Mus musculus: one gene and its partners. The protein of the gene in region 2 purifies or fractionates together with the protein of the main gene of each other region. This does not show direct contact. Links are inferred from orthologs where the notes say so. Each region holds a gene or a part of one and is shown on either strand. Other genes may lie near its edges.

Region 1 (3,581 bases), on a different chromosome or scaffold from region 2:
TTGAATTTCATAAGTTGTTTAGTAAGCAGACTTTTAAGTACAAGTTTTTTTTTTTTGTTTGTTTGTTTGTTTTTTGGTTTTTTGAGACAGGGTTTCTCTGCATAGCCCTGGCTGTCCTGGAACTCACTTTGTAGACCAGGCTGGCCTTGAACTCTGGAATCCGCTTGCCTCTGCCTCCCTAGTGCTGGGATTAAAGGCGTGCACCACCACGCCCGGCACATGGTTTTCTTTTTAAAATTTACAGCATTTCAGTTACAGTCTGAATATGAAGAGGCTACAAGCAGCCCTTTACACAGTGTTTGCCTGGATGGTTTGTGATCAGTGCACAGTGTGGCTTTCTACCATAATGCTTGGTCGTCTGTTTTTCTTTGTGAATGTGAATTAGCTCATTGTTACTTAGGTAACTGGAAGCTTTAAGTTGTTTTAATCATAACAATTATATTTTTTTCTTTTTCTTTCTTTATTTTTTTGGGGGTGGATGGGGGACGGGTTTTCTGTGTTGTCCTGGAACTTTCAATGTAAACCAGGCTGGTCTTCAACTCAACAGGGATCCTCCTGCCTCTGCCTCCTGAGTGCTGAGGGAGGGCTGGGATTAAAGGCCACCACTTGTAGCTTATCTTATTTTGAAAACACAGTTGGACGTCTGATTTTAAAAGTTCTTTAACTGTCTTAGTTCTTGAAACTTTATGTACTAATGGCAAACATCTGAAATAGAAAATCTTGAGGCTTATGGGTAGCATAATATAATGTAAGATCATGTTAATTACGTTATTAATGTCGAATTACCGATTTATTATAGTATGATGGAAGTATTAATGAACTTTGAAATGTTTTTCTTGTCAAGTGGAAGGAGTGAAGGCCAGCTGAATGGTGAAACAAATCCACCCATTGAAGGGAACCAGGCAGGTGACACAGCTGCCTCTGCAAGGAGTCTCCCAAATGAAGAAATAGTGCAGAAGATAGAGGAGGTCCTCTCTGGGGTCTTAGATACGGAGCTGCGGTACAAGCCCGGTAAGCTGACGCTCACTGTCAGTTTCAAAAATCTTTTGAAAAATTTGAATGTTAATTGCACTATTTTTAGGTTATTTTTTTCATAGTGTCTTTGAAAATAGTCTACTCAAACAGGGGCATTGAAGTTCTTGTTTCACTGGTAAAATAAGATTTTTCTTTTTATTTAATTCAATTTTGTTGTAACTCAATGTCAGGATTTTTCTGTGTATTTTCTTTGAAGGGTTGTGTAAATAACTCGTTTAAAAGTAGCTCTTGGAGCCATAATGATCCTGCAACAGCCCCTGGAGCAAGGTCCCCCAAATCGGGACCCACGGGCCACCACTGGGGTGACTCGTGGACTGGACGCCAGGGAACCTTTGCACAGGCAGTTCCTGTCTGAGGAGAACATGGCCACCCATTTCTTCCAACTCAGCCTACGTAATTACCACCACTACTGCAGCCCCCCTGTGACTTTTTCCGAAGCCCTGCCACCACTCAGGAGCCCTTGCCCAGAGCCACTTCTCTGGCGCTATACCAGGAGCCTGATTCCTGAAGCCCTCAGGCTGCTGAGGCTGGGGTATACCCCTAGTCCCTACTACCCTGCATCCCCAGCTGGGATATCATGGGGGTCTGGGTGTTGATGGCCTGTGTCCCTCCCCATCTTCTTCCTGACATCAAACACCAGCAACTCCTAGAGAGGGATGAAGTCCTTCTCCAAACCAGGTGCCTGGCCACCAGGACCTTCCCCCTGACAGGAGGACACTAGCTTGGTGGAACCCTCAGTGAGAGACAGCTTGGGACCCCATTAGTGATAAAGACCTGTGAGCAGTTAAAAAAAAAAAAAAAGTAGCTCTTGGTGTGTTTTTCCTCCCTTAATTTTTGTTTGGTACATTTGGGTGTTTGCGTGTACTGAGCCACACATGTGTGGTTGGGGCTGAGGAAAGCAAGAGGAGGAAAGTCTTGGGTCCCCCAGACTTGGAGGATGGGCAGCTGTAAGAACAGTGTAAGCTCTTCAGCAGATTGTTCTAGCTCTGAAGTGTCAATTTTATAAGCTGCAATATCCTGAACTAAATCTCTACTGGTTTTAAACCACATTACATTTTGTTTTAAAGCCCATGCTTAAAAGTTGACTTGTTTGTACAAAGCAGGTTGAGGCACTTTCGTTGTATACAATTTCTTTTTTGGAATTGATTAAATAATGGGTGATTAAAAATGAAGAATCTGTGGTTAATCACAAGACTAAATTATTAAGTATAGGAGTTAGGTATATAGTATGGTTCATAAGACAGTTTAAAATAACAACTAGTCTGGCTTAGATCATGTCTGGTTAGGTATAAACTACCTTTTCATGCTGTGAAATAAGCATTAAAAATTGATTGATTTTCTTTTGGTATGATGCCATGTTGGTGTTGGTGTTTTTTCTCTATAGTAGGAATCACTGGTATATTTGACTAGCCATTTCCTTAAGATTTATCTTATTTATAATCTATAGGGTAAATTTTACTGTGCGGTTTTAAGATAGTGTAAACTGTCTTATTTGTAATAGGCAAGTTGAAATGTTAGGTCTGTATTCAAGAATAAAGTGTTTAGGGAAACGTGGTTTTATCAGAATATGACAGTTTTAAAAAGTGAGCTCTGTAGTTGCGTTGGTGTATTTGTTCAGGCGTTCTTGTTTAGAAGGATTCACTTGGATTGTGTTGAAAATGTCCATGTAGTAAATAAGCACATTCCTTGTACTTGGTAGACTTTTTGTTGTTCTGTCTTCCTGGAGATCAAACCCAGGGACTGTACAGTGTGTCAGTAATTTGACAAGGCCCTTCCTCTACCATGTGATGGGTTAGTTTAGACATTCTGTTGCAGAATGAGTGCCATATCCTTTCCTGTGTAACGGAATGAATAAAATTAGAAGTTAACTCAGAACATTTTCTGTCATCTAGGACTTTATTGACAGTCTTTGTGCATTCTTGGACATTAATCTTACTAGCTCTGTATTGAGGGTTTTTTTTTTTTTAAGTAGGAATTGAAATAAAATATGAAGTAAATTTATTGATGTAGTTTTAAAATAACTTACTATAGTTTGAGAACAAAGGTTTTTTTTGGGGGGGGGGTTGCTTTTTTGAAACAGGGCCTCACTTTTCAGTTCTGACTGGCCTGAAACTCACAGACCTGCCAGCTTCTGCCTTCAGAATGCTAGATTAAAAGTGTGTGCCGTAATACCCAGCCTAAGAAAAGAATACTTTAAAAATACTATTGCTTTTGTGACCACATGTGGGTAGGTAGATACTGCATCTACACACACACACACACACACACACACTCACTCACTCACTCACTCACTGTGTGTGTGCTGCCTCATTTGTGGAAGTCAGAGGTGGTTTTCTTGTACCATGTGGGTCGGGCAGTTGCACTGAGATGATCAGGCTTTGCTGTGAGTGTCTTTACTCCCTGAGGCATCTCACTGCTCCCGAGGAGAAAAAACTTTAGATTTTAATGGAACAGCTTTTTCTTTTCCATCTGCCAGGGGTAAAAATAGAAGTCGGGTCTCCGCACAGGCTAAGCAAACACTCCGCCATTGAGCTGTATCCCACCTT
Region 2 (4,381 bases):
AGGCACAGGGGAAGAAGAGGCTGGAGAAGGGCCAGCTCTGGTGCCCTCCGGGTGGCAGCCTGAAGAAGAGGTGGAGCCGCTGCCCCGTTCTAGTCTTGAGCTGGAGTCTAGGGAGAAGGAGCAGAAGAGCACATGAGTAGAAGCCTGCAGTCCACATGCAGGCTTAGTGGCTCAGTGCTCTCCCTGCCCCCTCACCCTCAGCTTGTACTGCGGCCTCCATAGCCTCTAGCCTCTGCAAGTCCCTCAGCCGCTCCTCCAGCAGCCTCTTCTGTTGCTTCCTTTTGCGCCTCATCTTCTTCCTCTTGTTTTTGGACAGCTTGCCAATCTGCTGTCAGAGTCAGGGTCACACCCCCTCCCCATGTTTTCTTGTCCAGCCCTGAACCCCAGAACTAACCCCCATGGGTATCAGACTATGGATGCTATCTTCTGTCTCACCCTTATTCCCAACCCCTGACCCATTTCTCTGCCTCTCCTCCTATCCCCCTCCTACCTTGTGCTTTGGGGAGAACCTAGTGGGCCTGCTCTACACTGTTCCTTGTCTACTCCCAGACCTAGATGAAGCTGCCTGAAGTAGCCATGTGGGGTATCACAGTATCCTTCCATTGAGGTAGTGCTGGGCTCATTGGCGACCAGAGGCAGCTTGGAGCACATGATCCACTCTGTCTAATCACTCTCTTCTCAGGTACTCAGCTTTTTAGAAGTTCAAAAGGTAGAACAGGTATGGCTGAGGATCCAAGCTCTGAGGACATGGCCTCATCTAGCTTGTATTGGAAGAGGAGACAGGGAAAGAGGGGGTACCACAACTTACCAAGACCTCCTGGGGGGCAGTGCTGACTGGATGTAAGGGGTAGGGAGAGAAAAAAGAACAGTAATTCAGGTAGAGATTGAGGTCCAGAGTCCTGGTATCAGTCCCCACACATGCTCTTGGTACCTGTGGAACGGGATGGGGGCTGGGCCCCTGACTGCTGCCACTCTGTGGCTTCAGCAGCCAGGCGCCTGATGTAGGCATCTCCAACACACAGTAAGATGTTCTCAGGCTTGATGTCCGTATGGATGATCTTGCACTTAGTATGGAGGTAATCCAGACCATGCAGCACCTGGCAAAAGCTACAGCTGAATCCCAGCAGCCAGGCCTAGCCAACCTGAGCAGTGTAGGGGCAGCACCTACCTGTCTAACAATGCTCTTAACACAGGGCACAGGCAGACCCTGGTAGTTGGATTTGATGATCCACTTGAGGAGCTGGTGGCCCAGGACCTCTAGCACCATGCATACATCTGGACCTGGAGTGAAGGGCAGTCAACAACACAGCTAAGGCACAGGCTTACCTACCCTCCATCATGGAGGAGCACTTAGACTCCAGAAATGCAGAGGTTAGGGAAGTAGGGCTTTCCCTTGACCATCCTGGTGGCCACCACTGACCAAGTTTATTATTTAGAATGTTTCTGTCACTGTCACGGATATGCCAGTCGAGATGGTACCTCTTGTCATCCTACAGATATCTCACTCCAGCTTTACTCTTCTGCCCAAGTAGGCCTCAAAAGTAGCCTTTTATATTTGGGAGTCACTCAGCAGATAATCACAGTCAACCTAATTACCTGTGTTCCCCCTACTCAGAAACACAAGTGCCCAAAGGGATGAAGTTGTTTTATAGGCTCTTCCCGCAAGGGCTAAATCCCATGATGCAATGTGGATCTTTGACTGCCATATTGCTCGTTCTGCAAAGGATACGGACTCCATTTACTCCTGAGATCCTGAAGTCATCGATAAGTTGAACAATGGTCTCCCTTTTGGGGTCACTAGGGTCACTGTCCCTGACCTGAAACAAAAGGCAAGGAGCCACAGATGACTCCAACCTGCTCCTCAACACTGCTCTGCTCATATCCCCTGAAGCACTTCTATCCCCCTTTCCCAGTCCAGCTGGGGCCCACTTGAAGAAAGCCAGCTGCCTCTGCTCTCCGGGTCCTTTTACTTGGCAGAGTCAGCTGGAGCCTGTCCCCTCTGGGAGCCCCGCCCCACTCTGTAGAGCCCCAGCAGGCCCTGCATTCACATTGCCAGGCCCAAGGCAGTTCAAGGGGCTGGGAGCAGTAGGGGAGGTGCCTTACACATTTCAGGAGCTTGATCTCATCCACGGCTGTCTCAGTGTAATGTCCTGCACTCTTCACCACTTTCAGGGCCACAAAGCGCTTGCGCCTGTAATATGGAGACCCTCATAGGCTGCCAGACCTTGCCAGAGTCACATGTTCTCACGGTGGTGGTCTTAACCAAACCCATAGGCAGATCCCAGCTACTCACTGAATATCCCAGCAGAGCCAGACTGTAGAGAAATGGCCCCAGCCTAGCTTTCGCACCACATGGTACCGCCCATTGAACAAATCACCGATCTTCACTGGGTAGTAACCACCTGCAGAAGGGAACCAAAAGATCAGAGTAGGGCATCTCTCCCTTATACCTCAATATCAATGTCCTGCTGGTCATCTATCTCACGTGGGCCTAGTCTTGGCAACTTTTTACTCTCAAGCTGTCCTGAGCCCTTGCAGTGGCAATCCGGCTGGCCACATGCAGCCAGGGCCAGGCCTTACCCTTGCAATAGTCCTTAGGGTCTTCCTGTTCCTCATCATCAGAGCCCAGGAGTCCCTGCAGCAAACGAGGTGCTGGTGTGGCTGGAGTTAATTCAGAGCCTGAGGACTCAGGCCCACAGGAAGTCTGAGAGCTGTGGGTGAAGGAGGAGGATGCAGACAGTGAGCTCACAGGGAGCAGGGGACCCCAGTCTCCCCAGCCTGGTCATACCTGCTGCTGCTGCCGCCACAATCCACACTACCACTACCACCGGCATTGGCACTCATCCTGATGTCGCAGCCCAAAGCTCTGGTGCACTGGACCGCTGTTCCTGTGGGGCCCAGCCGTGGCCAGTGCATTTATAGCTTCTGCCGCTGATCTCACTCGCCTTTATAAATAGCCTCCCAGCTGCTCAGCTGTGGGCAAGGTATGCAGAACAGGGAGGGGGTAGTGCACTGATGGCAGCCTGGAGAGTCCAGCCCCTAAGCCAAACACCCCTGCTCTGTTTTCACCCACACTCTAGAGACAGAGGGAGCCATCAAGCTGGGGTTATGATAGCAACTCTGTCCCTAGGCTGATTCCCCACAGTGTAGGACTAGCCAAGGAAGACCTCTGCATGGAGATGGAGCAGTCTGGAGTTCCTGTACTCTAAGGTTGTAGGGAGGGGAGGCTCCTATGAAAGAATGAAGTTGATATGATGACCAGGTCCTTTGGCTGAGCTCTCTCCAAATGTTGCAGGGTACTTGATGCATTCTGGAACTTCCCACTTAACCCATATAAGTGTCCTTTTAGAGGTGACCCCCACCAATCCCACCTAAACCCCATGCTCTGCTCAATCTCAACCCTGATCCCAGCTCTTTTGTAACTCATAGACGCACCCCCTAGGCAGGTGGGAGCCCAGACCTCCCCTCTATGTGGCTGAGCAGGGGTCAAAGGCAAGAGTTAAAGGCAACTCATTCCTCCCATTAGAGGCAAAAGGCTCATCAGATTTACATAACACACCCTAGCTCTAGAGCTGACCACTTCTGCCTTGCTGTCCCCATCAACATTTGCAGGTTCCCATTTAGGCCAACTCTGCCATGTCCACCAGGAGAAGAAAAAACACACAGTTATTGCCCATGAGCTAGTTGGTAACTGAGGGATCCTGTGCATCTTGAGTGACCAGAAAGCATTAAGTCCCCAGAAGCACTCAGGATATACTGTGCCAGCATGCTACAGAATACTAGGACCTGGGAAAACAACTGAGACCCTATCTGGAGTCTATGGGTGTCACTGGAGAGAGAGTTCCAGAAAAGTAGACAAGTACTTTTGCTCTTTTGGGCTTTCTAAAGTTGGTAAGGTGATGCCTAGTACTTAATAAACCAGTTGTGGTGGAATGTGCCTGTACTCTCAATACTCAAGAAGTACTCAGAAGTTCCAGGTTATGCTCAGCTACATAGCAAGTTTAAGGCCAGCCTGGAATGCATGAAACCCTATCTTTAAAAATAAAAACCACCTGGAGAGATGGCTCAGTGGTTAAGAATACTGGCAACTATTGTCCAAGTTCAATTCCCAAGACCCATGTGGCAGCTCACATGTCTACAACTCTAGTTCCCAGAGGATTGACACCCTCTTCTGGCCTTCCTGGCCACCAGACACAACAAGGAGTATATAGACATACATGCAGGCAAAACATTCATGTACGTAAAATTAAAACAGAATGAGATGAGAGTATGAGAGAGACTAATTGTTTTTAGATGAGAATAAAGGGGCAAAAGTGAAGATAGGAGACTAGCCAGAAACTTCTGAATAAAGTGGAGGGGGCTTGGCAGTGGCAGTACTTAT
Region 3 (4,017 bases), on a different chromosome or scaffold from region 2:
GCTGAGTGTGCTGGGTGTCCCATGGGCCTGTTTTCTCCCCCATCTTATCCCTAGAACTCTAAGGCTCCTCAGCAGATCCGTTCACAGTGGCCCTTCTGCTTCCTACACTAAAACCTTGACTCCTGTAGGAGTTCCTTTTTACCTGCCTGTTATAGGGTAGCTCAAGCCAACCCTGTGTCTAAAGGCTTGGTGCATGCTGGGCAGTCTGTTGCTGACCAGACAAAGGTCAATACGGCCTTTCTGAGCCACCTGCTTCCTTCCTAGGAGTCTGGCACACACAGTTTGGAACCTGGCACCAGGCTTATCCATAGGCATCCTGTTTCTGTCCCCTTCCCACTGTAAGGTTCAATAGTGATACAAACATGCTCCTCTCCTGCCAAGTTCGCCAGCTGGCTCAAGACCCAGCTTCCTAAACACAGAGCAGTGGTGCCTTGTGGACTTCCTTTCTACTCTTAAAAATGTGGCTCGTGACTGCAGTACTGAGGCAGAGTTGATGTTCAGCACTAGTTACTGGAGATGGAAGACAGGCTCCGAGCCCATTACTCACTGCCTATGCGAGCCTGTGCAAGGAAGCCTCTCAGCCACCGCGCCCTTCTGTGTGCGAGCCCGTCTGGCTGGTCACCCGTGGCCATCAGTGGCCTGTATTGTGGTTTGCTCGGACAGGGAAAAGGAACAGCTTCAAAGTTTCTCCGCTTGGTGCCTTTCTCTTTAAGCCTCACTTTCCTCTGTTTAATGGGGTGTGCTTGCGGGAGGGGTTATCCCCTGCGCTTAGGATTTAAGAGTATAACAAAATGACTTCTGTAAAGAGCCTGCACGGAGCCTCGCACGGTCCACCCTTATTCAACGTCATTTTCTTAAAATCTCTGATGCCCTGCTCCCTTACTCTTACGAGTTCTTGTCTCTGGCCAGTAGCTGACACTTCAACTGAACCCTACTTCTCCTTCTCCAGACACTGTCACAATGTCTCCAGACATTGTCACAGACACTGTCTCCATCCATGTCACAACAGTGGACATTTCAACTGAATGCCACTTCTCTTCCCCTGCTGCCTAAACAATGTCCTTTCCACATGAGCCTCCTTCCTCATTCCTTTACTGAGAAATCTAAACTGAGCACTCCCATGCCCCAGCACTGAAGGGACAGGGAAGACCTCATGTCTTAAGAAGGCTGGAACCCAAGGGAAGCTGGCCACCAGAAGCAGGTTAACGGGTTCACTCACACGCTTTGCAATCAAACCTATGCTCCCATCCCGTGTCTCAGTTAGCCTCCTTGAGCCTTGGCTTCCTCAGATGTACAACACCAATCCTAGTAACACCTGCTCCAAAGGGTAGATGATTACATGTGCTGCTGGCTATGAAAGCCTCTCTCTTTGGCCATCCTTACCGTGATACATAACCAGTGTCCCATGATACATTTTTTATCAAAGACAACAGCTAGCAGACAACAGTGGAAAGGACCTCACTATGTTCATATAATGGCCGCCTTTCTTGCTCTGCCTGCCACACGAGATGTGGCGGACAAGGTAAAGGTGGCACGTCTATAAACCCAGCACTAGGGAAGCAGAAGCAGGTGTATCTCTGAATTTCAGGACAGCCAGTGCTATACAGTGAGACCCTGCCTCATAATAAAAAAAGGATGGGAAGAAAGCTCAAAAGAACACCGTCTAGGGCAGACATTAAAGAAATGATCTTTGAGGATCTATCTCCCTCCCCGACCTTAGGGCATTTTGACATTATGATCGTGTTTGTTAATTTCATTCGGGTGAACTCTTTACAACCCTTGGATTGCATTCAGGCGAAGGCAAGGTCCAAATGTACTAAGAACCCAACACATCACCCATGCTACCCCCACTTTACCTCTTCTTGGAGCGGTCTTTCCACACACGCCCGGATTTGGGCTTCCCTTTCGGAATTACAGGAAGCTCCTCCTTCTCTTTCAATTTCTTGGACGCTGGGGCCTGGGGAGAGGCTATAACTCGCTTCTTTAGGTTGAGACTTTCTGTTACTGTCTCTCCCGCCGGAGGCAGCTTGCCTGGCTCCAACTGGCGCTCTGGGGAGCTAGGTGCCTGGACCGTCAGCTCCTGTGCTGGCTGAGAGGGCTCGGGACCCGGTGCTTGCTGGCCCGGGCAAGGCTCGGGGGATCCTGGGATCACCTCCTCTTTAGCGTGGGCCGCCTCAGAGTCCAGTTCTCCCTGTGGGGGAGGTAATTTGGATGGCTGCTCTCGTTGCGGGGATTCCGGGCTCGACTCTGTCTGTCCTGCAGGTGACTCCAGGCCCAGATCTTGATGAGGTTGAAGGGACCCGGGGTGAGGCTCTGGCTGCCTTTGTGGGGACCCATCGTCTGCATCCTGTCTAGGACCGGGTGATCCGGGGCTCGCCTCTGGCTGAGGTCCGGGAGACGGAAGGCTCAGTGGTGGACAGGGCGATCCGGGGCTCGTCTCTGGCTGAGGTCCGGGAGACGGAAGGCTCAGTGGTGGACAGGGCGATCCGGGGCTCGTCTCCGGCTGAGGTCCGGGAGACGGAAGGCTCAGTGGTGGACAGGGCGATCCGGGGCTCGTCTCCGGCTGAGGTCCGGGAGACGGAAGGCTCAGTGGTGGACAGGGCGATCCGGGGCTCGTCTCCGGCTGAGGTCCGGGAGACGGAAGGCTCAGTGGTGGAACTCTCGTAGACTTGAGCTCTCCTGTTTCTTCTGAGTTCGACTTGAAATCTACAAGAGCCCGTTTCGCCCGAGAGACTTCGGGGACAGGAAGGTTTTCTGGAGACAGAGGTTTTAGGCCTTCCAGCCGCCGGCTGCGCCTCAGCGGCGTATCCATGGCTCACGTGTAGCCTCTGTAGCCTTCGGAACTGTCGGCGCCTTCATATGACGTCAGACTCGTCCATTTCCGTACCGGGCAGGAAGCGCACTTGCGGTAGAGAGACCCGTGGGTAGGCGGAGCCGGGGATGAAGTCGGTCCCGGGAGGCTGGGCTTAGTAGACGCATGCGTGTTGTGCATGAGCTCAGTTACAGAGTTTAGTTGCTTGGTTTCTGCGATGCGTTTTTTGCAAACTGCGAGTTCTTGCAAGGGGATGGGGTGGGGGTATATTATACATACACACACACACACACACACACACACACACACACACACACACACACACATATAAAAATAATTTTTTTTTTCTTGAGAGAAGAGGTTGGAAAAAGGCGGAGGGAGTTTGTAGGCAGAGCCGAATCAGCGCGCTAACTTGTTCTGGAACTGCTGGGCCCGCAAACATCGCCTTTTCTTTTATCTTTTGTAGCACAGTAGCTTTGCGCTGTGTAACAAAGGGGAAGGTCCTGGTGGTCTTCCTGAGTGGGAAATCTTCAGTTTTTGAGTTGTCTCAAACGTTCCCATTCTTTTCACTTCCTCTTCTCTACTAGTGGGCCCAAGTATGCAATAGGTGGTTCTCATCTTTGAACAGTTTCAGTTAATCAGCAAAGTGTCAGGTCTGTGGCCCAGAAAACCTTGACTGCTTGTTGTCAATGTTGGGGGTTCACAACCTGTGCCCGAAGTCAGGTCTAGCTACCTTATCCTCAATAAGCCAATTGAAAGAGACACATTAAAAACTGGAAATCTTTAGAAAAAGGAGATTTATTCAATGTAGTCATACTAGAAAGAGGGGCAAAGAGATTCTGTGAATCACCCAAATTTGACCTCAGGGTTCTAAATTTAGATAAAAAATTTAGATAGAGGGCCAAGGATAAATACATCTGAGTAGTCCTTACCAAGGTATGACTCTGCCCACCATTGGCCCATTATTATCTGGGTTTTAGTCTCATCCTGTAAGGTGGTCTGACAAGCTTTTAGAACTCTGAAATCTTTTTCCAGGAGACAAGTTTCCCCTCTGGCTGGTACCTTTTTCTTCTCCCAGCATGAGAATTCTGGGGAAATTTTCATTTCTTTGGAGTCCTCTGTCTGATTGATTGGCTGATAGGCTAAGAGATGCAGTGTCGAAAGCCTTTAATCCCAGCACTTGGGAGGCAGAGGCAGGCAGATTT

The links.
Region 1: the proteins of Srpk3 (region 2) and Son purify together in Homo sapiens (affinity purification with mass spectrometry; 3 studies listed by BioGRID and IntAct, with this or other methods). This does not show direct contact. The link is inferred for Mus musculus from reciprocal best matches to the Homo sapiens genes SRPK3 and SON.
Region 3: the proteins of Srpk3 (region 2) and Ccdc86 purify together in Homo sapiens (affinity purification with mass spectrometry; 3 studies listed by BioGRID and IntAct, with this or other methods). This does not show direct contact. The link is inferred for Mus musculus from reciprocal best matches to the Homo sapiens genes SRPK3 and CCDC86.

What each region holds. Positions count from the first base shown.
Region 1 is NC_000082.6:91,650,786-91,654,366, forward strand, and holds part of Son (protein SON), read left to right. Parts: intron 1-844; coding exon 845-1,011; exon of another isoform or gene 1,012-1,274; coding exon of another isoform or gene 1,275-1,631; exon of another isoform or gene 1,632-3,581. Other genes in the region: Gm36712 (host cell factor C1 regulator 1-like protein), read left to right, coding at 1,275-1,631. UniProt on the Homo sapiens protein: RNA-binding protein that acts as a mRNA splicing cofactor by promoting efficient splicing of transcripts that possess weak splice sites.
Region 2 is NC_000086.7:73,772,914-73,777,294, reverse strand, and holds the start of Srpk3 (SRSF protein kinase 3), read right to left. Parts: upstream 2,845-4,381; coding exon 2,789-2,844; intron 2,712-2,788; coding exon 2,581-2,711; intron 2,403-2,580; coding exon 2,294-2,402; intron 2,192-2,293; coding exon 2,104-2,191; intron 1,818-2,103; coding exon 1,730-1,817; intron 1,276-1,729; coding exon 1,169-1,275; intron 1,098-1,168; coding exon 932-1,097; intron 835-931; coding exon 809-834; intron 329-808; coding exon of another isoform or gene 326-328; coding exon 196-325; intron 108-195; coding exon 1-107. UniProt on the Homo sapiens protein: Serine/arginine-rich protein-specific kinase which specifically phosphorylates its substrates at serine residues located in regions rich in arginine/serine dipeptides, known as RS domains.
Region 3 is NC_000085.6:10,946,422-10,950,438, forward strand, and holds the start of Ccdc86 (coiled-coil domain-containing protein 86), read right to left. Parts: upstream 2,846-4,017; 5' UTR 2,813-2,845; coding exon 1,857-2,812; intron 1-1,856.